Linked DNA regions of Medicago truncatula. The protein of the gene in region 1 interacts with the protein of each later gene in a pairwise test. Links are inferred from orthologs where the notes say so. Each region holds a gene or a part of one and is shown on either strand. Other genes may lie near its edges. The genes, in order: protein UNIFOLIATA and chromatin structure-remodeling complex protein SYD.

Evidence for each region.
Region 2: the proteins of protein UNIFOLIATA (region 1) and chromatin structure-remodeling complex protein SYD interact in binary tests that used the Arabidopsis thaliana proteins (3 or more experiments, as listed by UniProt). The link is inferred for Medicago truncatula from reciprocal best matches to the Arabidopsis thaliana genes LFY and SYD.

Annotation. Positions count from the first base shown.
Region 1 is NC_053044.1:48,433,552-48,449,461, reverse strand, and holds protein UNIFOLIATA, read right to left. Parts: upstream 6,917-15,910; 5' UTR 6,547-6,916; coding exon 6,099-6,546; intron 5,729-6,098; coding exon 5,361-5,728; intron 4,856-5,360; coding exon 4,493-4,855; 3' UTR 4,318-4,492; downstream 1-4,317. Other genes in the region: phosphatidylinositol transfer protein 3, read right to left, coding at 14,721-14,837, 14,919-15,135, 15,247-15,283, 15,804-15,910. UniProt on the Arabidopsis thaliana protein: Probable transcription factor that promotes early floral meristem identity in synergy with APETALA1.
Region 2 is NC_053045.1:57,324,342-57,340,764, forward strand, and holds the start of chromatin structure-remodeling complex protein SYD, read right to left. Parts: upstream 6,269-16,423; 5' UTR 6,113-6,268; intron 5,156-6,112; 5' UTR 5,146-5,155; coding exon 5,041-5,145; intron 4,946-5,040; coding exon 4,884-4,945; intron 4,313-4,883; coding exon 4,224-4,312; intron 4,140-4,223; coding exon 3,474-4,139; intron 2,946-3,473; coding exon 2,791-2,945; intron 2,630-2,790; coding exon 2,466-2,629; intron 2,376-2,465; coding exon 2,311-2,375; intron 2,230-2,310; coding exon 1,501-2,229; intron 1,285-1,500; coding exon 1,112-1,284; intron 698-1,111; coding exon 600-697; intron 520-599; coding exon 334-519; intron 1-333. UniProt on the Arabidopsis thaliana protein: Catalytic component of the chromatin structure-remodeling complex (RSC), which is involved in transcription regulation and nucleosome positioning.

The DNA.
Region 1 (15,910 bases):
TCTCGAGTGATTTTTGAATCAAGTTCAAAGTCTATATTATCAAAATCCAGTTTCTTATTGTTATCCTTTTATTCCAATTTAGTTGCTTCCTCTTTATTCATGTATGTCCTGATTGTTGCGCTTTTCACTTCAATCCCAATTATGAATTGTTATTATCACCACCGGTGTCGTAATATACCGTGCAAGGCTTGACTTTTTGAATTGAATTTCCATTGATAGAAATTAATTAGGGTAAATATATCGTTTCGTCCCTGTAATATTAGCGAATTTCGGTTTTAGTTCCTGTAAAAAAAAGATTTAGATTTAGTCCCTATAATTTCATATTCTTCCACTTTTGGTCCCTCATTCCACCACGTAAGCAGAATCTGCATACATGGCATGTAAAATGAGGGATCAAAAGTGGAGGAATATGAAATTACAGGGAACAAAAGTGGGAGGAATCTGAAATTACAAGGACGTAATTTATACAGATTCTGTTGACGTGATGAAAGGAGGGACAAAAAGTGGAAGAATCTGAAATTACAGGGACAAAATCTAAATCTTTTATTTTATAGGGACTGAAACCGGAATTTGCTAATATTACGGGGACGAAAAGAGATATTTACCCAATTAATTATGGGTCGTTCCAACCCCTTGTTATTGCTGTGCATATAAACTGATGTAGCTGTTCTTTTGGAAATTGTAAACTAGCGTGATTTAAGTCACGCATGTGTAAAAATTAAGTCATGTATAGTTTTACACTTCCGTTAGTTAACTAATGCAAGGGCATTTTCAGCAACATTGCAGGGCGCGAGTGTTTTGTGCTGGGGAGAGCAGAAATCTTTTGTTCTTCTCCCAGCACGTTTTTCTCTCCAAACTTTCAAAAATGCCCCTGCGTGAGTTAACTCACGCTAGTGTTAATCTCTACGTGAGTTAACTCAAGCGGGTGTTTTTTCATGTTTAACTCCTACGCGAGTTAATTCAAGCAAACGTGATGGGAGAAGAGCAGAATTCTAAATAGAATTGTATCGAGTCCTTCAGTTTTGCTCAAAAGCTTTTTGATTTATCATCATATCATAAATATTCTATTAATTAGATCATAACTTTCAATTAGATCTTTTTCCATTAGATAATAACTTTCGATCAATTTATTATTATAACATTAAAGTTCAACGTAACATTATTATTATTTTCTTAATAACACTCTTAAAATATTTATCATATAGAGAAAAAAATTTATAGAACGAGATAACTAATAGATAAGAGTGTTATACAAAAAAAGGCAAATATATATGTAAGATCTAATACAATTAACAAAATTGAATTGTTTGTTTTGACACTTTCACTTAAATTTAAATCTAAGTCCTTACAGTTACGTGTAAGTTTCAAGTGGTGTTTATCACTTCATCTACAAATAAAAATTAAAAGAAGTAATTCTATCGAAAGTAACAAAATTTCTTGATATTATTGGTATGTAAAAATAATCTTAAAACAACAACTAAATAGATGGAGTAACAATCATTGTATGTAGATATATAAGCTTAACTTATTTCGTGATTCATATGGCGAAAATCTATCATGATTTTTTTTATATGCTAACAACACATCTTTTAATATATATTTCTAACACTATTAATTGGTTAAAGTTTATATGGATCTTATCAAACTATATCAATTTCGTATAAATTTTAGTAAGGTCAACAAAGATTTTAACAAATAAAAGAGAGTATATTAAAAAGGCTAAAATATGGTTTTGGTCTCTGCAAATATGCCTCGTTTTGGTTTTAGTCCCTGTAAAAAAAAATTGTTGTTTTTGGTCCCTGCAAAATATTATTTTTTTGGAAATAGTCCCTGCAGGGACTATTTCCAAAAACAAAATATTTTGCAGGGATCTTTTACAAAATCAAAAGATTTTGCAGGGACTATTTATCTAATAAATGGTTCAGTCATCATGTGCCACGTGTGCAAATTATCACAAAAGTGGAGCCAGGGACCAAAACCAAAATGAGACATATTTGTAGGGACCAAAAACAACAAATTTTTTTTGCAGGAACTAAAACCAAAACGAGGCATATTTGCAGGGACCAAAACCATATTTTAGCCTATTAAAAATGAGTTAACATTATTCACCAATTTATAAAATGATATGGAGAATTTTGATAACTAAAGATTTAGGTCTAAGGTGTTGCTAGAAATGTATGGGCAAGGTATATATAGGTAAAAAGTCAAATTTATCTTCTGTTAGAACCATGGACGGATGTATGGTCCATTCATATAATATTATTATAACGAACTATTAGGCTTTGTTTGGATAGTATAAAATCAGTGGAGTGGGATGGAACGGAATGGAACGGAGCGGAATAGAATGAAATAAATTTCCCATTCCATCATTTGGATGTTTTATAATGGAATGAGACAAAGTTCCCCTTCCATCGTTTGGAAAATTAAACGGAATGGAATACTTATAATTTTTAATTACTTTATTACCCTCAATTGTAAAAACAACATTATGTAAAATTGAAACATATTCTAAACTTATAAACGCCATTATTAAAGGTGATTATTAATTAATTAATAGTGAATTTTATTTTAAAAATTGTCATTATAATCAAATAAGCAATTGTTTGACGAATTAAAAAACAAAGATTTTGATTGAATTATTATTAAACTTCTAATATTTAGATTGTAAAGTTCAGTGCTGTAAAGTTCATAAATTTTTTCTTTTGCCATGATGAACTCATAAGTTTAATTTGGTGCAACAAATTAACATGATTGTGTAGTGTGCAAAAACAAACCAATTGAACAAGTTATGTGTATCCAAAGTAAATTAGCACAGCCATGGAACTGTGACAAGTTACATGCGGCAAAATAATTGTAAAGAGAATATTTATTTACACATTGTGAAAACAGATTACTGCGTGTCGCAGATTTTCAAATTAGCAAAGTAGGAATATGCAAGTGGAGATAAAATTATGATGCATGTACACGAGGTTACGCGGAAGAGAAGATGACACAAACAAGAAAGGAGAAAGAACACAACTAGCTAGGTAATGGTGGTGAGTGATATTAAAAGAAGAGGGTATGTAAGTCATTTTAAAATTTAATGGAGTGGTTCCATCCCATACCTCTCGATTTGGGGGGAATGAAAATTGAGAGAAATAATGGAATAGGATGGAATACATCCCACCATGTTCAATTCCATTCCATCTTTATTTTCAAATCCAAGCAATGGAATGGTACATTCTTTAGGTGAAATTTAGAATGGGAAAGGCTAATTTTTCCCACCATGGGAAAGTTAGTTTTTAACCATTAGATCAAACCAAGAACACATCCTTACCATACTCCCTCATCACTAGATTTTTTAATTTTATTATTTTAAAACTATTTTTTAAAAACAAAAAAAATATTTCAAAATTAAAATAAACATTTAAAAATAAAAAATAAACTTAATTTTGGAAATTAATTTTCCAATTTTTTTTTTGAGCAAGTTTTTTTCAAAAAACTTAATTAAATCTTCGAAAATCATAATTAAAATTTTTGAAAACAAGTTTATTTCAAAAAAATTATTTATATTTTTTAAAATTTTGGAAAATTAATTTCCATATTTTTAAATTAATTTTTTATTTTTATATGTTTATTTTAATTTCGAAATATATTTTTTGTTTTTAAAAAATGGTTTTAAAATAATAAAATTACAAAATCTAGTGATGAGGGAGTATGGTAAGGATGTGTTCTTGATTTGATCTAATGGTTAAAAACTAACTTTCCCATAGTGGGAAAAATTAGCCTTTCCCATGCTAAACTTCACTCATTCTTTAATCTCATTCCATACCATTCCATCCCATACCACCAATCCAAACATAGTCTTAAACTTCTGTTTATATATTATTGAGAAGAGTTGTGTTATTTGAACATCCATATATACCAAAATTTTACAAAGGAAATGAGGTAGTGGCACAAAAACCAAATCAATAGAGAGAGAAAGTAAAAAGATAATGTGAATGAGAGAAAAAGTTGTCAAAAAAATTGTAAAAAAATGGTTGTTAAAATATCATTTCTCTATTGAGAATTACTATTTCTCTCCAATTTTTATTAAGTTTTTACCTTTGTGCTTATTTGTATTAACATCAAAAAATTAATTATATTTTTTTAATATGCTAGAAATTAGGGTTATGACAAAGTTCATCTAGTTAATATTTACATGTTGTAATTGCGTGAAAGCTTAAAAAAATTACCGCAGAGAATCAATTTGTAACCCAAGCAAGCAAATTATTTATGAGGTGCATAAAGAAACCTTATATTAATTTTTTCCTTCAATAATAACTAAGAAAAGTCCTCTAGCTAAAATGAGATTACTACATTCCAGTCGATATATATGAGGAAGGTTCTACATTTCCACTTGTACTACACAAATAATAATCCTAGAAATAACACATACATCGATGATCCATCCATTCCTGATCATCAAAGTACAGAAAGATGCATGCGAGCGTGATAGAATTTGAAGTCTAACTTAAAAAGGAAGGTGAGCAGTTCCAACAGAGACGGAGCTTGAAGCAGCAGCACTGTTCCTCTCAGCATGACAAAGCTGACGAAGTTTTGTTGGCACATACCATATTGAAAGACGAGGATGTGCGTTGAATATTGCATCAATATCCCATCCTTGACGTGCAGCTATTGCTACAAGTGGCTTGTAACATGCTTGTCTCCATGCACCAACATTCTCTCCTCTTTCCTTAAACCCTCTTCTAAGCTCATTTGATACCTCTTCATCTAAACAATGCAATGCATAACAGTGCACGTAGTGTCTCATTTTTGGCTTGTTTATGTAGCTTGCTCCAGCTTTCTTTGCATACCTAAATACCTGATTTGTCACCTACACTCACTCAAAGTTATTAATCATGTATCATTTATTTATTTATTATAAGTAGACCCCATATACACAACGTAGTATCAAAATTTCATGGATATGTATTTTGATTATGAGGGTAAGCTAAGATCCGGATAATAAAATGCATGCATTATTTTGTTATGGTTCTAGTTTGTGACCGGAAAATAAATAAATGAATAAATACAAACAAAGTGTACGGAACGGAGATATATGATCATATGAAAATCCCAGTTGAATGGGAAGTTGTGATGGGACCCATTAGGAGAGTCCCTGAGTCGTCACGTGTTCGGATGAACGTGTCACGGCAAGAAAGTACTGTTCAAACGGTTCGTGAAGGAACTATACACTACTACACAACACAGGAATCTGACTGGTTTCAAGTCAGAGTCAGATTCAGAAGAAGATAGATCCACATAGATATGACGAGAAAGTACAACAAATTCAATTAAAATATATATGAAAAATGTTGTTCGGGCATGGTATAGTATACCTTGGTAGGGCATTTCTCACCGCGTTCCTTAGCAATTGCTTGAACCTGAATCAAGAACTCACGACATTGTTCATAGAGATGAAAAAGATAATCTAGACCGTTCTTTTTGCCACGTGCAACTTCCCCAGGCTCTGTCACAATGAATGGATGTTCTCTTTGTCTCTCACCGCCACCACTGATGTTATCTTCTTCCTCCTCGTCTCCTTCTTCATTCTCACCATGATCACCATTTCCCTTCATCTTCATCCTTCTCCTCCTTATTTGCTGCCTCTTTCTCCTCTCCTCCACCACAGCTACCTCCCAAGTACTCCCTCCTCCGCTTCCCACCGCCTCCTTCTCTCGCTGCACCACCGGCTCCTCCGACAAACCTAAGCATATTAATTATATATAGTTGACATTTGAGAATTGAATATTCTATAAGGCTGTCATGTCACAAATTATTTGTGATTAGTTACTACTTGATTATATTTGTTACCACAGGATCAATGTATAAGTGATCATGCATTCAATGTAATTATCAATTTCATAACGTCAATTCTAAAATAATTTTTTCTATCATTGTACCGTTTTTTCAACATAATACATCTTTTAATCGTTCATTTTCATATACAAAGGAAAAAAAAGTGAGGTTCATATTATAAATTTGTAATATCATAGTTGACTTTAATAATATATTAGAACAGTATTTTAATATAACAGTAGAATAATTTGAGTCAATTATTATAAATGACTGTGCACCTTCTTGAGAGAGAGCATCGAGAGCGTTGGTGGTATCGCCGGAAAGAAGACCCCGGCGTTTAATTTCCTCTTCATCAAGGCGTCTCCGTTCAGCTCTAATGGCAGCTTTGATGCCGTAACGCTCTCCAACAAGAAGATCCCAACGAAAAATCTGGGAAAGGCTGTTCATCATGTCATCAAGCTCATCATCCTTCATGTCCACCAGCGTGCTCACTGTAAAACCAAGCTCTGCTATCTTCGCCGCCGTGTAGTATCTGATTCCATAAGCTTGGAAAAGTTCCTCCAAACCTCCAAGTTCTCTTGGTAATCTCGCTGGATAATAAGGTGATGGAGCAGTTGATGGGGTGACTGCGTAGTCGAGAAGTTGGGGACGGAGAGGTGGAGCTGTTGGTAGGACGGTACGTGGGTCCCACTTGAATAGGCTGGCGGTGAATGCGTCGGGATCCATGGTAAGCAATGAAACTGTTTTAACTTCTTTGTGTATGTTTGTTAGGTTTTGGAAAATTATGAGAAGTGGAAGATTTATGGTACTGTTTAGGTGGAGATATAGAAAACGTAAAGGTGGTGAGGGTGTGGTTAAATTTACTGTGGAGAAAGAAAGATAACGTGATTTTCCAAAACTACCCTTTGTTTGACATGGTTTTTCCAAAACTATAAGGAAATAGTGTTATTCCCAAGACTGGTTAGGGCTTGTTGGAGACTTCCTTTTGTTGTGTGTGAGACTAAGAACTGTATTTGATTTGAAACTGGAATGCCTCAAAACAAACCGAACTAATTTAACTGGCTATAGATAGACGTGGTTACCCATAATAATATCCGACCAGATGGGGTCAGTTGTGTTGTGTTGTGTGTATATGGTTTGACCTCTGATTTGACTTGACTGTTATTTTTTTTTTTGTGCTTGCTCTTATGTGTCATATGCATGCTTGTGTGTTGTACAAAGTATGAATTGATGCTTTGGGTTGTCGTAAAAGCCTATATATATTAGCCTACTTAAACAACAACAACAACAAATTAATTAAATGAAGAATACTAGGGTTTTTTAGGGTTATTTAGTTCAAATGTTCAATCATTATGATTATATTTAGGGTAGGGCGGCAAATAATAAGGAAAAGTTGGTAAGGTCCTGGTCAGTGAAAGGCATGCATGTAAGTTTGTAACCCGAAAAACAACAAGCTACTTTTCCTTATTGCCTATTATTATGATTTAATGTAACTAGTGATCAATCCAAACAATTAAAGGTAAATTATTAAATTTGATTATTAATTATTTTTGGTGAGAATTACAATGAAGAAAGGTAGATGGCAGAGGATTCACGAGTGATTCTTGTGTCTGATACTGTAGTGGTGAGTTACGGAATCAGAGAAAATCTCACTGAGGTTTTTAGCTGTTTGTAATACAGAAGAGAGACTAGCTCGTTAAGGAAACAGACAAAAAAAGGACGTAAAAACAGTAAAAACATTAATGGGGAAACAATGATAGTAAAGAATGGGGTTACTATTTACTATTTCATGAGTGACGAGATGTGAAGCAGAAGCAGTGATGCAGGGATCAAAGTACGTACAGCTGCAAGGGTTGCAGGTTGTTCCAGTTGGTCTTAAAGCAAACACTGTAAAGTTGAAAAAAAAAGGCTGATTAATTCATGATGTGTGTGTACTTTCGAAGACCATTGCTTCCAATTTCCAACCCATGCCAACACATGAGCTACCATAAACCATTAATAGAGGTGAAGTGAGGTGGAGGGTGCATGGTGTCACCTCGCTGGTTACCATATATGAAGCACAAGATACAAACAATGACACGTCGATATTGTTAATAACTTGATTTTTTTTTATAATTCAATGGAATTATATGTGTCAATGTCAGATACAATGGAGTGTTTATAGTGTAGTTTAGATTAGGTTTAGAAGAACAATCTCATCCAACATTATACTTGGTTTGATTCAATCCAATTATACGTATCTCAATGATTTGAGGAAGTAGGCATAGAAGAGCGAGTGTCAAAAACTACTTGATCCTCAATGGAAGACTTATTGATTAAAGATGAATGATATTTTGACAATCAATTTTAAATGATTTTGGGTAACAACATTTTTCCTCCCTTCTAATTGGACAATAACAATATATATATATATATATAGAGAGAGAGAGAGAGAGAGAGATGAAGAGAGAGAATAAAGTATCAAAGAGAGTTGTCACCAATGATCATATATGTGTCAATTGTGTGGATATGTCAAGCTTTTGATTGCTGTCGGTTAATTTCAATAAGTATCCTTCTCACTCTTTCTATCTCTCTCCAACTTGCATTTTTCTAAGCAAAGTAAATCAAGGGCAAGAAACAGAAATTCAACTGTTCTTAGACCATGTCCAATGGTGTTGAGTTGAAAGCAACCTTCAACAAGTGGAAGTGCTCCAATGGTATGTTGAATGATGATGTGGAGGAGAGAGATGTTGAATGCATTCAACATGTTGAATAGGAGAATGGTGGGCCAAGTTGAAGATGATGTGGCGCAAAACAAGTGGTTTGTAGGGAGAGTGCACTACACACGCCTGACAGGTGCGCTGGTCTTTCTCCAAAAATAAATTGTTAAGTGTTTTTTTAATTTAATTATAATCGATAATTGTAATTATGTAATTATAAAAACAAAATATAAAATTAAATAAGAAATAAAAAGTGGTGGAGTAAAGTGTTGAATGAAAAACCATTGCTGAGGGTAAAAGTTGAATGAATGTTAAATAAGAGAGATGATTGTTGGGAATTGAAAAAGTGGGTGTTGAATGAAAAAACTATTGTACATGGTTTAGATAAAACTATTGTACATGGTTTAGATGTGTGATTCTACTCAATTATGATCCATTCAGTGGCGGAGCCAGGAATATAGTAAAGCCCGGGCAAAAAAAAATTTGCAACACATTTATAGGGCGTACATAAGAAATTGCAAGCAAATAATAAAAAATGTAAAGAAATTGCCCAATTTATAAGGGGTTTATATAAGAAATTCATAGGGATTTACACAAGAAATTGCAAAAAATTTGGCCCGGAGCCCGAGCGAGTACCCGGGGTCGCCGGGCCTTAGAACCGCCCCTAGATCCATTATTTCTACCTCATGTTTGGTACACCATTTTTGAGATCTTGTCTATTGTAATTCTTATGTGATCCCTACTCTCTAGCTCGGATTTTAACCTTAAAATGTCTCACTAGATTAAAGAAAGTATGTTTAGAAGGTATTCTAACCCTTGATTCCTAATTCTCATTCAAGGGACCTGATTATTGGACTCTTCGTATCTATTCATTATGTTCAACTGTATATAGGTAATGAATAGAGATCACATGCACTGTTAGGAAATTCTTGTTTTCTATTTTGAGATCACATGCACTGTTAGTAAATTCTCGTTTTCTATTTTAATTTTGGATATCATATTTGTACAATTATATTGGTCGAGGAAGATGACAAACCACAACTGTACATGTAAAATTCAATTGTCAATGTTATTCCTCAAAAGTCAATTATTTATTGCAATGGATATGAGACATGTTTACTTAGCCTAGGTCGATAATCTGACATGATATCTGTACTGAAGAGAAAATTGGTGTTTATTAGTTCCATTTTTAGAAAGATCGAAGTTGATTATGATATGTTTGGTTGTTGTCGAGTAGAATCGATTTTGTTTTTATAATTGCTTCTGGTCGTAGTCAAGATTTGTAGCTTTTAATTGCACAATTAATTTTCACACACAAATATATAATTCACTTTTACATATGTATCCAAATACAAATCATTTTAGTCAAAATGATTTCTAACCAAAATCAATTTTACCAAAATTAATTCTTCCCACCGCCGCACAACCAAACGCAAACATAAAATGACCTAAATTGTTAGTCTAGAATGAATGACAGTCGAGTTAAGGGTTAGCTTATATTCAGATAACTAAATAGTGATATGTCGAGCTAGCGACCATAGATTACGGGTTAGTTAAATCTTTCTTAAGGCAAAAGAGTTTCACCAAAGTTGTGGAGGTGTCATAATTCGTCTAAAATACTTGGAATAGACAATTTGACCCAAACTTGTGTTCTATGACAAAACATGACAAATATGACAAAATGTGGGCCATCATCTAGACGCAACAACATTAAAAAACTTATGCGTTATTTGCAAATTTATCCGACTTTTTTAATAACAAATGTTAATATGATAATTATTAGGTGGCATTTAGGGTGGGTGAGGGAAAGAGTTTCCTACCATGGGAAAATTTGATTTTGACTATTAGATCAAATTAAGAACATATTCTTATCATGGTCTGTCCACATCATAACTTTTCTCATTTTGTCTTTAACCTCCGTCATCCACCCTTTCTTCCACCACCCTTCACTCTTCTACCGCAACTCACCCACCACCACGGATTCATGTTACCCCAACCTCACTGGATTTGTGTTCTACATAGCGTGATCCTCTACTGTTCTACTTCATCTTGCATTATGGCTATCTTGACCGGAGAGCCACCACACACCACGACAGATAAGTTTCCGGCCACCGCTTCCGGTCGTGATGTCTCTTTTTTTTACTAATAATAAGAAATTTTAATTTAGTTTGACTCTGTTGCTGAATATGCCTTACAACTAGCTTTTGATTTTTGTTTTTATTTGTTTGTTGTCTTGTTGATTATTCCTCTATAGTTTAGTTTGAGATTGTAATTAGTAATTGTTGTTTTTGGCCTTTGAGGAATGTTATACAAAGAACAAAAGAAAATTGAAGCAGGAACCAAAGAACAACCTTAGATCTCATAAAAGAAAATTGAACAAAATGTTTCGGCCAACTTTAGATCTCCTTTGAGGAATTTTTTGAGTTTCTTTTTAAAGTATTTTGTACTTTTTTTATAATGTGTATATGTGTTTCTATATTTTGAATACCTGCAATTGTTTTACGACCTCTACCATAAATTCTAAAGTGCATGGAAGAATGTTCTTAAATGGGTTGAGTGAAATTGCTCCAAGTGGTGGTGGGTGAAAGAGATACGGAGGAGAGTAAAAATAATCATGTATTGAATGTCTATGATAAGGATATGTTCTTTATCTAATCTAATGGTTCAAAAGAACTTTCCTATGGTAGGAAACTCTTGCCCTCAACCACCCTAAATGCCACCTAATTATTATGTTAGTTTTTTCTTCTCACGGACTCGCAACATTCTGAGCATGTCTTTGTTGGCAACACAATCACGTGCTTTGTCATATATTCTATAAATACCACTTGTCAATTTTGTTTTAGACTCACTCAAACTATCGGTTTTACTTGCATTTACCCAACTTCCTTTTCATTTTGCTTCATAGCTTAGTTCTTAAAAATCTCAACTTTCGTACTTAATTAACACTCTTAAGAGAAATTATGAAGCTCACACCCAAATGACCCAATGGACAAAGTTCTTTCCTTTTTGTAAAGAAAAATGAATCATTGTTAAGAGCTATTAGATTATTTCTTGATTAACTTTCAATTTCACTAAAAGATGGTTTCATCCTCTTAAAGAAAAGATGTTTCATATAACTAATGATCTCCGATTAAACTGTAATTAGGTTTAATTTTAATCCCACATTTTATCACCCATTTTTTTTTTTGAGGAATCACTTACCTGAATATGTTTAGTTTGGTCTATGGTTTGGTTTCTTTTAAAATTTTGATGTGTACGAAATTCAATGTCCTCTAAAGCTAATTATATAAAGCAAGAATTTGATAGAGTTTTTTTCTTTATGGTTAATAATAAAATTTTATTTTAATGTTAAGTTTCTTATTTTCTGAGATACAAAGTATTTTCTTAAAAATATTGTAGTTGGTTTTATTCAATATTTCATTTTAAAATGAGGATAAATAGGATTGGATGGAGTACAATACATCGTCTTTGTCAACTGAATTAAACTCATACGGAGAATTCATTTAACATAGATGAACATGTTTTTTGACAAATACTGGACACCATGAGCAAATAAGTAATTTTGACTTTAAAACATAGGGACAACTTTGGCATTCCATTCCTATCTTCCTCTCCTTCTCTGCTCTCTTCGACCCCTCTCTTCATCTTTTTCTCCATTCCACCACCACCGGAACTTCTTCCTCACCCTTCTTCTCCAAATTCTTCCGTGTTCACTCCAACTTCTTAACGTGTTGACTCCGACCACCTCCCATAACTTCTTCTTCTCGTTTTCCGGCCAAATATCCATTGCCTTTCAGATTTGTACTCTTGCACCACTTTCACATCGCCGAAGCAATCGGGATCGGAGTTTATTGATTCTCCTTTATTCGGGCCGGACTCAGACCCTGGTCCTTCTCACATAGTGATTCGTTCAATAACAACATATGGGTTGTCTCCCTCACGCCGTCAGAGAACGACAACGATGAGAAAGAGGCCGTCGGCGAGTGATAGAGAACAGTGGAATATGGTATTAGTGTTGTATTTGTGTTTGTTTATCATTTATGTTAATTTAATCTTTATTGTGACATTATTGATCATATATACTAAAGTTAATTTATTTAATCTTTGTAATTCTTTATTAACTTTTCCTTTATCCCACATGTAAGTTTGACACACTTGTTTATTTTACATTCATTAAAAAATGACTATAAATGGAAATTTTATCAAATTGAAAAAGAGTAATTGATTTACATTGAAGATAAAAACTTCGTCCATTAACTAATTTCAAGCAACACTTTCGTCCTTTAATTTTTTATTTAATCATTTATTTTATAAATATGTAACATTTTCTTCTTTTATCTTTTTCATTTTCCAATTAAGTCCTTTATGCTATTTGTTATCCTTTGTTTTATGAAAAAAAAATCATTATTAGAACTTTTAAAAGATTCATCAAACTCATAAACAAACTCGAATCTTCATCATACAAACATAGAAACTCAAATTTCATTGAAAAATTCTATAAAAATGAATAACAATGTTGGTATTTTATAACATAAATGATTAAAATTGAAAAAGAAAAAGAAAAAGGGCGAAAGTGTAACCTTATTATAACATAAAAGATGAAATCAGAAAGAAAGAAAGAAAAAAGAAGATAAAGACGAAATTGTTGCTCAAAAGTAAGTGAAGGGACAAATTGTTTAATTTTGTCTAAAAACAAAAACAAAAACAAAAAATCGACATTGAGTTTGAAACAATTGCAACACAATGAAAGAGTGAGATAAACTACAAATTTAGGGCCTGAGGCCCTTATTTTACCTGCTTGGGATGGCCTGTAGTAGATTTGCATATTGGATTCATTGAATCAGCCGAATAATGTATGAAAATTGTTCTTTAAACATCTAACAATTGCTAACTAACAACTTAAATTTTTAAAAACGGCACCAATGATAGTTAACTATCGTTGCCTTCTGAACTGTTCAGATGTTGTCATATACATATTATTGTTTGCTTGGTTTTTCAGCTTTTCCGAATATAATTCCATCAGAATGAGAGTTAAGTACCGTTCATGAGCGAACAATAATTATGTACAGTTTGGGGCATTTTGCTAGCTTCTGATGAGCAATTGTTAGGTGACTCTAAAGATCAATTTCCATAATGTATATGTAAAATTATTAAACACATCATCTAATCTAATAGTATATAACGTCCGTAAAAAAAAAAAAAAAAAAAAAAAAAAACTAGTCTATATCATGGTTCTTTCAACAACAAAAAAAAAAAAAAAAATATTCTCCATGGTATACTTATGGACTGTGGTTGAACGGAAGCAAATTCATCATGTCTCAAGAAACAGAATGCATCTGGAACTTTGGCGGGAATATAAAATTATTGATTTTTGTGTCTAAAGAGTAAAAAAAAATAATTAATCAACATATATAAAATAGAATACATTCTTTAAAAAAAAGATAGAATACATAATTTCTGTGACAAAAAAAAAAAGAATTAGAATATAGAAGGATATGATGATGAGAGATCGGATAATTGTAGGATATGATGATTAGAATATAGTTGAAGTTTTTTTTTTAAATGGCAAAATATGTACACAAAGAAGAAACTTGAAAACACCGAAAAATTGTACAACAACAAGGCTTTAAGTTATCAAAAACGGGAAAAGGCAAGAGCTCAGACAAGGTCCCCCTCGAACATCAATAAGACACACGCACTACCGCTACCAAAAAAGAGAATGACAGACATATAATGAGGTTTCTTGGATAGACCAGAGACATAGTTGCATACCAGATCAATAATAACTGAGACTCCCTAAAGACACAAAGTCCTAGAGCAATCTCACCGAATAGCAAAACAATATGACTGACTTAATTTATAAGATATAAAAAAAGTTGATTTAGATAAGATATAATTGCTTCTATCTTTTATCTTGACTATGACATAAACCATAACGTTACTTAATTTAAAAGGATAATCGTATTTGATTGAATGTACAATTTTTCTATTCTATATGGTGTTACACACTTTCAGCACTCGTTACATGTTTGGGGCAGCAACAGAGCACCTATACATGAATTTGTACCCTTTAATTATTTGAAAGTATTCTTTTTGCATTTTTTTACTACAAATTTTTTATTGATAATCAATATAACTTACATAACAAATAGTACAGTACATTAGAACTTCTCCTTTATTTATTTGTTTTTAATAAATTAATCAAGAATCTTGTATTGGAACTAATGGAAGTTTGCCTCCATATATCTCTGGGAGCTGACTCTCATCAATCTCTTCAAGCAATGTTGCTTTCAGCTTCTTGTTCTCAACAAATACTATCTGCAACATATTCAACACATGCATTATGCTCCTAGAACATCTCAATTTTCATACAACAAGTAACAATTTTAAAAGTGTTACCTTCTTCTTGGTATTGTCATCAATGAAAGGGTAAATAATTTTCCATACTTTCATAAACATGTAAGGTGCATGTACTATGAACAACTTTCCCAATCTCTCTGGATAGTAATCTTGTAGAATGGTTAGAGCACCGAGGTAACCGCGTATGTCGCTGTTTGCGTAACCCCATCCCTTAATGTCTGCAATAGATACAAACTTTTCTTCCCCTGGTGGCATCCTGTCACATTGTTGTGTAAGCTACAAAATTTACAATTCTTCTTACTGGATTCACAATTCTTTTTTGTGTGCACATGTAGACATGAATTAATTAATAAAAGGAAAGACATACCTTGAAATTAGTTTCTCAAGAGCGAAAACTACATACCCTGCATACATAAAAAGTATTTATTATTGAGCCAGTGTTTGGATAAATATAAGTGATCATGTATAAATTATTTCTATTACAAAGGATAACATAAAGTCAAACTGTTATCATATTAACTATAAGCGTTTTCATAAACTACCCGTTGGGATAAATAAAATAATTAAGCACTTATCTTATTATGCTTTTGTATAAGTCATTTTTACAACAAGAGATAAAGTCAAGTTTATCGTTTTTTATACAAGTTATAATCTGTTTTTATAAACTATCTTGGGCGACTTAGGAAAATAAGTTGAAAACAACTTCTGGATATGTCATGATAGACGGTTTCCATAAACTCTACCAAATAGTGTCAAAAGAGTTCAAATAAGCAAATTTAAACATGTCACAAGTTGTTTTCATAAGATCTCTGAAACAGTATCATAACAACGTAAATAAGTTCAAATAAGTCAATCTAAACATAAGAGGATTTCAAATGACAGCATTGTACAACTAATGTTATCCCAAGTGAAAGGAAAACATACGTTTGAATGCATCCAAACCATTTTTGTTTTGAAAATGCTTGGCAGCAAAGGCAACAATTATAGGTCGACCCTTCTTATCCAATCCTTGAACATAGATCTTTTCCTGT
Region 2 (16,423 bases), on another chromosome or scaffold:
GGGATATTTAGGAATGGTTAGTTATCCCAGGATTTAGGAGTTAGTTGCTTTAGATCTTTCCTCCCTTTCCTTTTGTACAGGATGTCCATACATAGATACTCCTATATAGGATGTCCATATAAGATTGTTGGCTTTGATTAGTTGACTGGAGAATTTCAGAAGTGTCAGGGGAGTATCTTCCTATGTAACTTTCTTTTTTTTCTATCAATAAATCTGCAGGGATGAACAATCCCCTTTCCTCTATTTTGTTCTTTCATAGAACCCTAACACAATGCATTAGAAAAATTAAAGAGATGGAAAAAGCATGTAGAAAAAGGTAAATAAGGAACATACTTGTGAACTTCTATCTCAGTGAAAAACTCCTTCTGCCTCTCACGAATCCGTTTCTGCCGCTCTTCCTTCATTTTCAGCTCATACCTTTCAAGTTGTTTGACTCTCCTACCATGCCTGTTTTTCTTAAATGATTTCAAATGTTCCAACTCAGATGTAACTGGTTTGAAGAAATCGTTCAGAAAATCACTGCCCACAAAGGAAAAATATAATGTCAAACTGTGAGTTGAACAAAATAACAAATTCATTCATATAAAAATACACATTACCTCCGAAGTCGACGTTGAAGATCTAATAGTTGAAGTTTTTTCAACTCTATGACACTTTTTGTCTTAGCAGAAATATCTTCGCATGAGCTCACATTTTCCTAGATCACAAGGAATGAACAACAGACCAACAATGTTTATGCAACATCCAATTATTGCCAACCATATATTGAATGTGCACGGAGAATATATTAAGGGCTTAATAGCAGTTTTAACCCCCTAACTTTCCCAAGTTGCGATTTTGGCCCCCTAAGAAAAAAAACTACAAAACCGCCCCCTAAGGCCCCCCTTGTGGCAGTTTTGGCCCCCAAGGCCAATTTTGACTTGGTCTACGCTGACGTGGCACCCTAAGCGAGGTGCCACATGTTATTTTTTTTAGCCTTGGGGGGCCAAAACTACAACAGTTGCAAAACTTAAGGGGCGGTTTTGTAGTTTTTTTTCTTAGGGGGCCAAAATCGCAACTTTGTGAAAGTTGGGGGTGAAAACTGCTATTAAGTTACAATAAAAAGGCAAACCTTTAACTTGTGAAAACATGTTGTCATTCTTTCCTTTGCTTTCTGCTGTTTTTGCATCCAATTTTGCTGAACTAGAAGCCTCTTTTTCTGCTGATCCATAATCCATCTCTCTGACATTGTAAATTTTTTAGATGGCAAATCAGCTGATGCTAACTTATCATTTCCTCCTTGCTCTGTAGCAAAAAATATGTCATTTTTAGATACATAATCAACTGGAACTGTTTTGATAAATCAGCCAGTAATTGCTCTTAACATTCAGGAATCCATGTATCATTAACACTTGAAGTGACACAGAAAAGTTAAGCGTCAACAAACTGATTGTAATGATATGACATAATTGATCCTCTTCAACAACAAAAAAACATGACATAATTGACAATGGCTTTCACCTGCAGAAACATTTTTGCCCAATACATTTCCATTCATCGTGGTTACTCCTCCGTGGTGATTGCTATCAATCCCTGGAACAGGTTTCCAGTGCTCTTTCAAAGAATAAGAAGTCAAGTGATTAACAGAATTGGGATTCCAGGAACCACGACTGTTGACAACACTCTGAAAGTGAGTAGGAATATTCTCTCTTCTTTCTATAGGTAACTCATGTTGAGAAGTAGAGACCTGTGGAGGTCCCTTTGAAGCCTCGCTAGGACCAGCAAATCCAGTCCAGTTATTAGGGCCTACAACAGAAGGTTGGTTAGCTCTTCCAGCCGTCAAGATACCATTGTCACTATCATCCAAATTACTGTTACCAACTACAATACCCCTTGAACTTGAAGAATCTTTCTGCTGATATGGAGTAGCTGAAGAAGATTGTGCAGCGACTCTTTCTTGGATTCGTCTCTCAACATCTCTTTTTGCGGCAAGATGTTTGCTGTCTTCTGAAGGTGTCTGGATGTCAGAATGAAGGTTACCTTTGTCTTCTAACAATCTTGTGCCATCAGTTCCCTTCATAAAAGATTCAGCCTCTAAAAATTTTCCAGCAGAGGACCCTGAAGGATTTTTATCAGTCGGTCTTAGATTGCTCGAACTTCCAAATGGCATTATGACACCTGGCATGTTACCAGGCTCACTAAAAGACTGTGATTTTCCTTTGGGGTCATTTGAATCTTTATTAGAACCATCTGTATTAACATCACATTGCATATACCAGTTAGCCGGTGAAGATCTTTGATAATGTTAAGTAAAATATAAATATCAGTCACCTTCTCTAGCAAAAAAGGTTCCAAATGCAACTTCAAGATGTAGTTTCTTTGGCGGTAAACCATTTCTGCACATAGAACAATAATGTTTCATATAAAGCTCAACATAAAATTCTGTCCATTTTTTCAAATAAAAAAGATAGCAGAACAATATCTACCTAAAAGCTAGAAAAACAAGGCACTGAGCTCGAAGTTGTTTTAACTGGTTTTCTTTGAAAGGCATAGTAGATGATGCAGCAGGAACTGGGGATTTTCCTGTATCTCTAGGGGGAACACCTTGTCTAAGCATAGTCATTTCTGAGCCACTATTTTGCCTGCCAATCTGCCAATAAAATTATCTGATCAACCAATCATATACAAGCTACATAATAAAAGAGAGCAACAGAAGTAAATAAGTTTCAACTAAATTACATGAGTATATCAAGATGAAAAAGTAGAGCTACAAGACAAATCCAGAAGCATATAGTAATGAGTAACAAGTACCTGAGATATTTGATGCCCATCAGCTAAAGTATTTGAACTCCCCCCATCACGATTAAGAGGAACACCATATTGCATGGAACTTGAGAAAACTGGTTCGTTCATTGCAGACACATTAGCAGGAACCACCATCCCTCCATGAACCCTAGCATATGCACCTGAAATTCAAAGCATTCTTTCTATGAATATTCGTGGGTACAAAATTCAAAATTATAGTTTTTTCTAGTAAAATTGATTCTATCATTCTCCCCATTATTTAACATTAGTAGAAATATCCATATGTAAAAAGAGAAGTATCTCACAGCATTAAAAAATAACTTCAGAACAGAACTGAGGCATATGACAATCAAATGATTAAGGAACAGCCATGATTGGTATAAGAACCCGGGGTAAAATAATCTCCACTCGGATAAATTATTCAATTCTATTGACTATATTTAATTCATAAACTCTTCTACAATGTTTTCTCTCAAATTTCACCAATCAAATAGTAGGACTTGGCATTTAGGTATAAATATTCTAGATAGTCATCAGTTCTCAAACAAAAGTGCATAGTCGATTGATCAAGTTGCATCATGAATAATACTTGAAATTTTCCCTTACTAGTATAAATATTTTTTAAAAGGTTATCTATCTTTATTTTGATTCATGCACCTCTAATTACATGTGTAAAAGTTAAGAACCACCTTGCTGCTTCCCAGGAGCAATATGAGCAGAGGAAACTTCCAAGTCTTCTGGATACTTTGAATTTGGAGCCCGCCCCGTTGGATTGCCAATATTTGTCGAATCAGTTTGCTTTGCCAATAAATGATGACCTTCTGGGTTTGCCCTAAGCATTGTTTTCATGTTTCCAGAAAAAGTTGAAATATTCTCCATTTGACTGTTATTTGGAACCACGCTAAAGTTTGTCATTTCACCACTTTTAGCTGGAATACCATCTGATGGTTCAGTCTTGGTCATTTTCCCCTTCCTTGTATTAACACCAGTGTTGCGAGGTTCTACTAGAGAAGAACTGTCAACATGCATTTCCACAGGTGATGTGGAATCACCCCTCTTTCTTTTTGTGTTACCTTTCTTACCATCCTTTTGATTCGCCTGTTTGTCCCAAATGACAGTATCACGTTTATCTTGTGACAGTGAGTTAGCAGACCTAGAATCCAAACTAGATGGACTTTCTTGATCAAAAGATTGATTACTCCTCTGAGCTACAGATCCTTGATAATAATCAGGAGCTCCGCCAGTTGGGGCAATTGGTGGTCGACCAGAAGTAAAGGGTTCCATTTTGGGAGCCTCGCTTTCAGCCAAACTTGGTCTGGAATCTTTTGCACCACCCACTGCTTGTGAAGAAGATCCTGCATAAACCACAAATGGAAATTAAATCAACTGAAAAATTATCACAAATACTCTTCAAACAGTATTAAAACAAGCATAATTACCTATCTGCGGAACACCAGTCAAAGGAAGACGTGACGACTTCAGTGCTTCAATATCAAGGCCATGTTGGTTGATGACAGTCTCCATTGCCCTATTACAAGCAGCATTAAGTAAGAGGAAACAGTGATATGCACCAAACAGCATTAATTAAGAAAAACAAAATATGGTCTAATGCTAAGAATGATATGTATATGCTTCACTACAATCACCAACGCACTAAAAAAAAAATAAGTCCAGAAGATGATTTGACAATTAAGTTAATGATCCATTTGCTAAGCCAATCAATCAAATAAAGGTGTTCTCATGGAAGAAGCTGTCAGCTTCAAGCATATTATTCAAACTGAACTAAACAAATTCACAATCGTACTTTGTTTAGGAAGAGGCTCCCAAGCCTAACAAACATCCATCGCCATTGACCAGCTTGCACACAATGCAATTCAACAAACCTTTCCCATTATTATTCCATTTTCCATCACCCCGATAGTTGATATTTTAACTGTTGGGAAATGATAATTTCAGAAGTAACTGTGTGTCCTTATAAGGACAATATGCATAAGATTTTCAATTCTACTATCTTAGCTCACTACAAAAAGAGCCATAGGGCTAAATAATTGAATTCCTATATACGAACAAGTTTGAGTACTGAGTTTCAAATGTTTTACCTTGATATCACTTGATATGGCATTGAATGTTCCTTTCCGCTGGATTTCATATGTTGTAGTATCTGAAACACTCATCAAATCAATTGCAAGTAAGCCTAATTTTATAAGGGGTAAGAGAATAATTGAAGAAATTCATGGAAGAAGAAACAGCACACACCACATAGAGTTTAGTAGCCAACTTGACTGGCTCATCTTTAGAATCTTGAATAAGTTTATGCAGAAACTTGGCAGCCTCCAACTCGACATTCTGTGGAGATGCCATCTCATTTGTCCTGCACAAGCAAAGTATTGTGATACAAACTCCAAATCAACCGAAAAATTCAGGATAGTCTTCTTATAATTTGGGTTGGGCTTAACAAGTAACAACCCATGATCAGACCATATCTCATCCAATGTGAGAATCTTAACACACACCCTCAAACCCAGAACTGAACATTTGGAGTGTGACCCAAGTGGTTCGATAGCGGAAACCTAAAAGCAGGTGGTCCAACGGATCTTGGATAGGCTCTGATACCATCTTAGAATTTGGGTTGAGCCAAACTCAATCTTACAAAGACGGTTTTGTAAGGATGAGTTAGGCCCAACATAAAAACGGAATAAGTCTCAACTTGTAATCTTTGAACTAATAATGAGAACCAACTTATAATGATTGTATGACCAAACTCAACAAAAATGCACAACATAGTTCCAATACTGACACTAAGATAAACCAATAAATTTTATGCTACACTCCCAAACCAAAAAAAAAAAAAGGAAAACATTAATTAAGAATACATAACAAAACATGCAAGAAATTGTTTTTCCCAGCATCTGAGACATATATAACCATAATAAAGTGCTAACAACGTTCAATGTTCTACCTAGTACCCTGCCTTAAAGTTATCAAAAAACCAAGTAATGAATAAAACTACCCCAAAATCTAAAATTAGATAAATAGATGAACCCAATTTGTTCTTTCATAGTAAAAAAAAAAACCCAGAAAGAAAAACCCTGGCTTTAAACGAAAGTCCTAAAATAAGAAATCGTTGATTAACACTGTGAAACATGAAAAAATGACCTAAAACCTTGGTGAATATTAGCAAAATAGAAGAAATTAGAGCTGAGTCAGCTGAAATCGGCGAATCAAAACAAATTTGCAGAAAAATTGAAAAGTGGGTGAAATGGTAAATGAGAAAGAGGGGAGAGTCTCAAAATCTGATTGAGAGAAAAAGGGAGTGAGAAAGAATTACCGGATCAGAGATGAAAGAGACGAGTCTCAAAATCTGGTTTCAGGTTCAGCTGCTCACGGTGTGTGAAGAAGAAGAAGAAGAAAATGAAACCAAAAACGGGTTTTTGTTATTTTTGGCGTAATAAATAAAAAATAAAAACCAAACACAGCGCAAAGTTTCGCACGAGTGCAAGCTCTTTTCGTGTGAACGGCTTACGTTACGTTCATTAAGCTTGTGAAAAATTGAAATGGTATGAAACTCTCCATTTTAATTACCAAACTATATAAAAAATTAAAATGCAATAATTGAAGTTTATGATATTGATTTTCCAGAAAGACTATAATAATAATTTGAAGTTTCTTTGAAGAAATTAAAGTCTTATCAATAATTGTTTTATTCGACACTTAGAATTAGGTTCTACTTAACAAATTGTTTTCTGTTTAAGCTCAATAATTGATTTTGTTGGACTTGAGATCATTGAGTTGATGTCGTTGAATGACCTTTTAGTACCTACTTCCGTCAATTGCGGTCTTCTTCTTTGTCGTTTGCAAGCTTCTTCTCCTGATGAATGAGGGTGGTGTACCTCCATGTGCTCCAACACTCAAGGTGGCGTGGGACGATAAGTGTACATGTGAAAAGTGAATCTAACTGAACTCGGGCATATAAGCAAAATATTTATAGTGGAGGTTTAAGGACTTGGTCCTTGTACCTTTACGTGGACAATTGTTCTAGAAGGACAATCATGGTCCTTTGAGAGACAACTGCAAGTGTTTGGTTCCTAGTAGATTGGTGTCGTGAATCTTACTGGGTGTTCATATTTGGTCTCGTGGACTTTTGTGCCTTTGACCTTTTTAACTATTCTCTTTTGGTTCTCTTTGTTCCCATGTCAAGGCCATGTGGACTCCTTTCGTGAGGAGCCCTTTGGAACATATGTGTACTTGAACGTCGGCCGATACCAAGATAATAATCATTTGAACTCAATAACTTGATTAAACTCTATTTCCTTTTTGAAAATGTAAAACCAAGTAATAAAAAAAAACGAAGAACAAACTAATGCAGGAGAAGAAACATGATATGGGGGTAAAGGAAAATCATGACAAGGTATCAATGAACATAAGTATTGAGTATGTGGTATTTATATCGTTAAATCCACTAAACAAATTAGAGTTATGGTCGGATTCATTCATGTATTATGGTAATAATTATAAGTTAAATGTGTACAAAAAAAAAATTATAAGTTAAATCTAATTAAATACCCAAAACCATCCTAAAAGACTAGTTCAAGCTAGTTAGCTGATAAAAGCAGTCTTTGAAGATTAAGTTTACGAAATTATGACTTATACAACATAAACTCAACTCAATTGCATTCAACTACCGAATACATGTTTCGTCAATTTTATTTACTTAGGATTAATGAGTCAAAACTAATTAATGTCAAATTTGAACTTATATGGTAGCATTATCAATAAAAAAATATATTCATTTACGACAATCTTTAAAAAAAAAGTTAAAGACGGATACAAATTTCCGTCAAATTTTGGTCCCTCTAAACCTTATTCATTTTCTTTCATAATTGTATTTAGAGGACCTAAAAATGGAGAGTCACCAATCAAATCCGACTTAATGGAGTTTCATAAATCTGACTTAAATTCGTACCTTGTGATCTAAAAATAAATTTTTTTTAGGTCAGCCTTATTCTTTTTTGTTTTTGTTTACATAGGCCAACCTTATTCGTTTAGGAGTTACCAATCAAATCTAATTAATATCATGGCTTGACTTATACAAATGTACTTTCAAAAGCGTCTCAAAATTTTTTAATTTTTAAGTTAAATTTAATGTAATCCGCTTAAACATAATGGTTGAAGAAGGAAAGACTAACATTTTTTAAACCAACATAAGGCTGAATATCAATTAATTACCCTGATTATTGTTTAAGCCAACTATATTTTTTTTTAGGATATTTTTTTGTCAGGTAATCCAGTGGCTAAAATTCGCCAAGATAAATAAGTGAAGAGTCCGCGATTCGAACCCGGATCACCTGCATATAACAATGCATGTCTCTAGATATGCTCACGATGATTATTTATTTTTGGGATTTTAAGCCTTTATTTTTTGGATTTTAAGCCAACTATATCGTTCATTATTGTTTAAGCCAAGTGTATTGTTGCACCTGTATTAAACCGCAACGTATATTTCTATCTAAACTTTGTGAATTGGCCGTAAATATGCTTCATATTTCTCTTTGAAATCCTTCCTCTTTAACAAATATTGTATAGAACACGCCATCGTTTAATTTTTCTCTGTATTGGGTATGCATCAAACTCACCCTTCATAGCTGCATGGCAGCCGGAGTCGGTGGTGGAGCCACGCCTCAATTTTTTACATTAGCACCTAAAATCCTATTATATGTCCACTTTGAATCCCCTGTTTTTTTTTTTGTTTTGTACCATTGGTTTTGATTTTTGAACTTTCTGATTTAATTCAAATGCATCGACGATGTGAATATATTTTACACCCGCGGTTATTTAATTTACAATTGCTTGATTAATGTCATTGTAATATTAATGTTATTGTAATTTTAATTTTAATGTCATTGTAATTTTATTTTTTTCACAAGTTAAAATGATATATATTAATAACACTGGTGAAGCACCTGCACAAGACGTGCAAAAGTGAATCACCGGTCAATATTTACATAAACAAAGAGCCACACACTGAAAGGCTCCCCAAAAAACTATCAAAATAAATTAATGGTGAAGAACACTCGTATAAAGGAGAGGATGTGTCGAACAATCATAATAACAATAATTAAAAGGGATGTTCCTTGCTTTCATCCACACAAAAGAATTTAACTTGATTTTCTCAAACAGAACATACGGATGTGATGCTTCATTTTGGAATATATGCTCGTTTCTGTCTTTCCATATCACCCAGACACAAGCATACTATATACCTTGCAAATAAGAATGAGTACTACGCGGTAGTCCCGCTATGTAACAAAACTGAAAATGATGGTCACGTAAGTCATAAGGGATTACCGTATGCAAGCTTAACCAAGTGAACATATAAGACCACAACGTAGATGATGTACCGCATGATAAAAATAAGTGGCGGGCTGTTTCTAAAGTCTCACAACCGGCCACACACGTAGAACCTGTATTCCTCCATAGCAAATTGTCTTGAGTCGGAAGGCGATTGCGAAGAAGGCGCCACGCAAACATAGATACATTTGTCGGTATGTGCCGATGCCAGACATTGTATCAAGTGCTAAAGTGATAAGCCTCCCGCACCGAATATCCGTGAATGGTATCAAGTGCCCATCTCCATGAATCAGTAACATTAACCTGTAAAACAAAGTTATGTAATAATAATGAACACTCCCTCACACTCTCCTCCTCCCATACTAGCAAACGACGTCTCCAAGCCCACCCTCTTCCTCCTTCGCCCCACCCATCTCTCTCCACCTCAGCCACTGCACACTCCTTATTTATAGCCAAATCAAAAAGTCGAGGAAATTTGAGTCGCAAAGGCGAATCCCCGACCCAATGATCGAACCAAAATGAGGTACTACGACCATCTCCCACAACCCGTCGAATGTTACCTTCAAACCAATTTCCCACTCCCTCACCAACTCTCTCACGAACATTACATAACATCCTCCACCAAGACGAGCCTAACCTGCCACCTCCTTCAAACGACCACCCTCCTCACCATAACGTGCTTTTAAAACACGGTACTATAACCCCTCTTTATCCACCAACATCCGCTAACACCATTCCCCAACAAGGACAAATTAAACTCTCCCAACCTCCTAACCCCCAACCCTCCACATCCTCCTTTGGAACACAAATAGATTCCCATTTTATCCATGCTATTTTCCTAGTATCCTCACCCCCACCCCACCAAAAAAAACTTTTAAAAATAGATTCTATAGAAGAATTTTTATTATATTTGTGACTTTAACTCAACAAACCATATTTATCTTTTTCAATGACTGCAAAAATATAATAAAAGAGAAATGATATTTGTACAACCATTTATGACAATCTTTTGACAACTTTCTCTCTTATACTCACATTAGACTCTTATTCTCTCTCTTCCTCTTTCTCTCTCCATTGTTTTTGACCAATAAAAAGAGAGAGAAAAGAAGTTGTCACATAAGTTGTTCAAATATCACTACACATAATAAAAATTCTTATCTTTTTTTTAAAAACACCAACAATATAGCTTATTATAAAAAAAAAACGTTTAAAAGTATAATTGGAATAATAAAAAAGCCAGCTCAAAATCCTATCAAAATGTGCTATTTTCTTTATATATAGTATAGAAGAGTATTATTACGGTTAAATATGTTGTCGGTCGCTCTAAATATGCAAAACTTGTTTTAAGCTCTTTTAGCTCTACTTATGTTAATATAGTATTAGCATGGAAATGAAATGAAATTATGATTTATACGAAAACTCCACACCTCGTATTTTGATCACAAGTATTATCCTTTTTGTATATTGGGAACTTTATAGTTATATATTAATGAATAGAAATCATAGAAATCAATGCACCTTTTTTTCATGTATTTTACATGCACGCAAGTTTTAAACAAAATTACACAATTCGTCAATTAATTTAATTTCAAGTAACATTTTCGTTTTCTTTACACACAAAAAAGTATCACTTTCGTCTTCTATCTTCTTCTTTTTTTCCCAGTTAATCATTTATATTATAATAAGGTAATACTTATGTCCTTTATTTTATTTTTTTCCTAATTTAATCATTTATGTTATAAAATATCAACATTGTTATTAAAAAGTATATGAATCAAAAACTCGAAAGAAAAAAAAACTTATAAAAAAATTCATCTAACTCATAAATAAACTCAAATCTTCATCATACAAACATAGAAATTTATATTTCATTGAAAAAACCCCATAAAAAATCATAGAATATTGACATTTTATAACATAAATTATTAAATTGGAAGAAAAAAAATGACGAAAGTGTTTCCAAAAATTAAGTTAGGGGATAAATTGTGTAATTTTGTCCAAGTTTTAATACATTTTTTTGTTAATATATCTTAGCCGTATCGTATCCTAAATTTTTAAAAACTTATATATTCATGTATATGTTTCGTATCGTACTCGCATCTGTACTACGTATTCAAACTTCATAGGGTGAAACTCGTAAAGATCATAAGGTGTTATTTATTTTCATGGACAATGTGTGATTTTTCCACCTGCTATGAGTAAGTGGTGCTCCAGGTTTGGCTTGATATTCTCTCCATCGCGGTATTTTCTGTTTCCTTTATCCACTGTGCATCATTTGCTTGAAACATGCCCCTTGCGAACGGCCACTTTCATTAATGGTGCTATAAACATGACACACGAATAAAGTGATAATAATTTGTCAAGTTCCACTTACTTTGATTGTTTTGAACACTCCCACAACCTTTGTAAACATTTATAAAACTGAGAAAGACTTGCTTATCTCGCACTCGATGATTTTCTAAATAAGTAATAGGAATCACAAGGTATGTTTTTGAACGAAGAAAGTACAAAACTATAATTTAGTAAATGTTATATTGGTTATTTTATGTCATTAAAATAGTTCTTACTGAACCAAATTTTTGTTGGACCAATAATGTTGCCCTAAATATGTGGGCAAGCCGCGTAACAAATATATAATTTATAAAAGTCTAAATATAATAATACTAGCATTAATACTTGCCCTACCTTATATAAATAGTTTTCACTTCACCAAATTCTTGTTGGACCATCCCACATGCTGCCGTAATTTTTCCTTAATTAACTACAACAACTCTATATTTTAATATGAGGGATTAGGGGTGGACAACGGTCGGTATTCGGTTGAGAAATGAAATTCCGTTCATAACCACGGTTGCTATACATGCATCCATTTTCGTCCGTATGAGAAGTCGGTTTGCTCGAATTCGGTTATTTTGGGTTACAGGTAGTTTCGGGCGGTTTTTAGGTTCCATAAGTATCTCTAAATCTCCACAAACAAAAATAGAAAGAAACAAAAGTAAATAAAAAAATAAGATTAAAACAAAGGAAGATGCATGACTTCAAAAATGCTCACAATAGAAATGATAGTGAAGTAGTTGAAGGTTTAGAGCAAAGTTCTAGCATGCAAGAGTATATATGAATTGACACATCAAGACATTGGGAGGTTACCAAAGGTTGTGAGGTTGGGGTTTTGTTGTAGAGAAAAAGAAGGAACTAAAAAAGAAGGTTGGTGTTGTGAGTCTGCGAGAGAGGGAGAAGAAAGAGGAAGAGTGGGTGAGGGTGACAGTGAGGTGTGGTGAGATGGAGTATTGAAGTGGTCTGCCTAAGAATACTTATTATTTTATTCAACCAAGTAAAAAATGATTTAAAAAAACTAGTGGATGTACAAAAGTATAGAAAGATGGGACTGCAAAGGTGGAGTGTGTCAGTAATATTGTGTGGATACTAGAAAAAAAAATATAGGGAAAAAGCACTTGCTAGTCTGCTAGACTACCGCTCTACTGTGATTTATCTATTCAAGAAACTATGCAGCGGTGGGATATGGGTTATTATGGTTTGATTTCACCAAACTGAAACCGACTGAAATAAGCCACACATATCCGTTTCTGTCAATCCGAATAAACCGATTGACCCGCTTAAACCGACCCGCCTACTTGCGGGTTATTCGAAACGGGCGGTTTGGGCGGTTTCCATAAATCTTGTCCAACCCTATGAGGGATCATACACCTAATAAAATAAATATAATGAATGGTGGAATAAAATTTCTTCCTCTCTGAAGATATAAGGAAATTATAGTAGGAAACAGAGGCACGAGGCACTGTAGAAGATTAAACCCTCCGCGTAATAGACATCATATCGAGCCTCAAAGGCCTTGAAGAAGAATGGAAGAAAAAGCTTTGTAATAGAGGAGCACATAAAACACTTAAACAGATAGATTTCATTTCATAGTTGATGAGAGCCACAGATTCTACATAAATAAAACTAGTAATGCAATAATTCTATGAGTTCAGAAAAGATTTAACAGTTTCTTGAAGAGTAATCAAACTGAAATTCCTAAGATAAAATTAAAAAACCCCTCACACAAAAATATAAAAACCCTAAAATGCATGTGTGTCTTTGTTCTAGGTGCACTCTTGCTTTCAAGAAGATTATCAATCATGTATGCTGCTTCTTGGACGGTGGTAATGGACTGGGCACTTTCTTCTTCAACACTAATACCAAATTCCTCCTCAAGTCCCATTACAATCTCAACCTACAGGAAATTTAACAAGTCTAAATAAGTTTAAAAAAAAACTATAAAAGATAAATAACAGAGGCTATGTTATCATTTTTCTCAAATGTAGAATCATGCTGAAGTTTCCGCTTAGGCAACTTAAGTGGTTCAAGAGGCAAGAAGGGACTCAAAATACATTTTAATTACAATTTTCCAAGTAGATTAAAAACCATAATGTCCAAATGATATTCTAAATAGAGAAGGGAATAAAATTAAATTAGTCAACAATGTTATATGTGTATGCATTTGCCACAACAATATACTAAAGGATAGTTAATAGCCTAGAAAAAGATGTTATTCAAAATTGGCAGCAAAAGTGCATAAAAACGCCATAACTGTCTTCTGGTTTTAAACATGAAACAAACAGATAGAATGAAATAACAACCTAATGAGAAATGGATTGAGTATTTCTGACAAGTGAAAACTAATCACCAAAAACAACAAGATAGCATTAGAGCTCAGAAACCAAGAAGTACATTACCACACACGTAGATAAGGTAATAAAATAAAAATAGATACAATACAATCAAGTGTTGTGAATTGTGAATGCATGAGTTACACTTTTATGCATAGACAAGAATTCATAGACAAAATTTGTGAATATGTCAATACTGTGTCGAGAGAGTCAGCTCCAAGTGCAGAAAATTTGGACTCTCCAGTGACAGAGGACTCATTTGGCAATGCCAGTTGTATTTTTTGACAATGTCACACACCTTCTTTACAGTTTCTGCTTTGGCCTCATATTAAATTCACATCGTTTATATCACAACAAATAATGCAAATATAGTCCAAATAAATACCACACAGAATTAAATTAAGTATTAGAAGTACAAGCAACCATTGATAATTCCAACAACAAATATACTGTGGAATCAATAAATCAATTTTTATTAGAAAAAATTAAAATCTCTTCATTGAGCAGTTAACTGAATCAAGACAACGAGTGAAACAAATCAAAATGTGTGATACCACACCAAATCCATTATCCTCTTCTGAACTAGCAACAATTTAGTAATTTTATAATTATACTATAAAAATAAGTATAGAGTTTACTACAAGTGAATAATATATCTTTCATTTAAGTGATCCCAAACAATCCATACAGAACTTTTTTGCTTTTGTTCATTGTTGTTTTATTCTAGTTCAGCTTAAATTTGTTCACATTGAAATTGATCCTTATAATATGTACGTAATATTAATTTAATAACTTTAGTCTACAAAAATCAAATGTTATGCATACATACATGGAATAAAACAAAACAAAACATTATGGATCAAATTAAAAAACAAAAACAAAAACTTGTATATTTGCAGACAGAAAAAACATAATTAATCCTAAAATAAAATAAAATATAGTAAAAGAGTTTAGAGGAACTTACAACACATGTAACTTGAAAACGAGGTACCCTAGACTGCAATGTAATGGATGGAAAGGCATTCCCCCTTAACTGAACGGGAAACTGAAATTGGGTTAGAGAATCTGGCACCAGGTACCTGTTGAATGTGAATTAGCATAAGAAATATCACAATCAAATTTAAAATAAACCACAAATTAAACCATAAAATTCCAGTGATTTGCAAACAATAAACCAGTAAGCTCGTTTGTTTGATGAGTTAATTCGATCAAAGAACGTAATGAATAGAAGAGAGAGAGAGAGAGAGAGAGAGAGAGAGAGAGAGAGAGAGAGAGAGAGAGCGACGAGAGTGTGTGTTGTTGGAATAAGTAATAACAAGTGTTGGTTTTATAGCGAAAAGCTTGTTTGTTGATAATATGTTGATAATTTCCTTTGAATGGATAGGGTTAGCAGGTTAGAAGTATTAAACCATACTAGATCGCCGAGGTCTTATGAGCTTGAAATATTTTCATACTTAGTGAAACATAATATTTTGGAATGGAACTTTAATAATTAAACTACGTAAAGAACAATTATCAAAGTCACAAAATGTATTGTTTGCTGAAATATCATATCGCCAACCAAGAATGTTACAACGAAATACATAATAGGGGGTATTACACATTTTGAAATACTTCTTCATACACGACGTTAGACGTCTCATCCATATCTTCACAATCTTCATTATTAATCAATATCTTCAGTCCTTCTCTGGATGCAACTCTTTATACAACATTGTATAGTTGTCCGTGCGAAAATACATGCGTTGGGAGATATTGTCCAACATGTTGGAGTGATTGTCATTGACTCTTGTTAATAGTCATGGCAAATGAGACAACTAAATGAAACTGTCATCTTTGAAACTTGAAAGGAATACAAACATCTGAGGTGATAGAAATAAATGCGGTATAAATACTTTTTCTCCAACACTACTTTCGGATATTACCTCATCCTCAAGCACATATTTTCCCATTCTAGTTATGATTAACCTTGTTCCATTGAATAAATCTTTTGTATATCTAAATTTCTCAACAACATGACCGACACTCCAACCTTTAGTCTTAATTTGTGATTTTTGGAACTCTTGAAGCAACAATTGTGTTTAGAAATGCAGATGTATGCACGTCATCAATTATATCACCATGAATATTGCGTGTAAATGGTAGCTTAGGAGTTATATTAGTTAGGAGTTTTTTTTGACAAGATATTACTTAGGAGTTAAATAAATGGTAGCTTAACAGACTATCAATATTCAAATATAATTTAAAAGAAAGCTAATAAAATCATTCCAATAGATTATTCCAATTTCATAGGGAAGAAAAAAACAAGAGGAATTCACATAAAGCTAAAAACATGAATACTTGTAGAGCTTAAAGTATTAAAGTTAACTGTTAATTATTTGTTTTTAATTAATATCTTTTTAGTCAAGTATAATAAAAATAAGAAAGATTTAATATCTTTTGTTAGTATTTATGTCATTTTACAATTGTACATGTTTTTCTTTCTTCATTTTCTTTAATTTTATCTCCTACCAAACTACTAACGATCATTTTATTTTCTCTTGATATTGAAAGGAATTAATTGTTATTAACCGACTCTTTTTTTTTTTTTTGGCTAGAGGTGTAATGGATTAAAATTCAAAGGA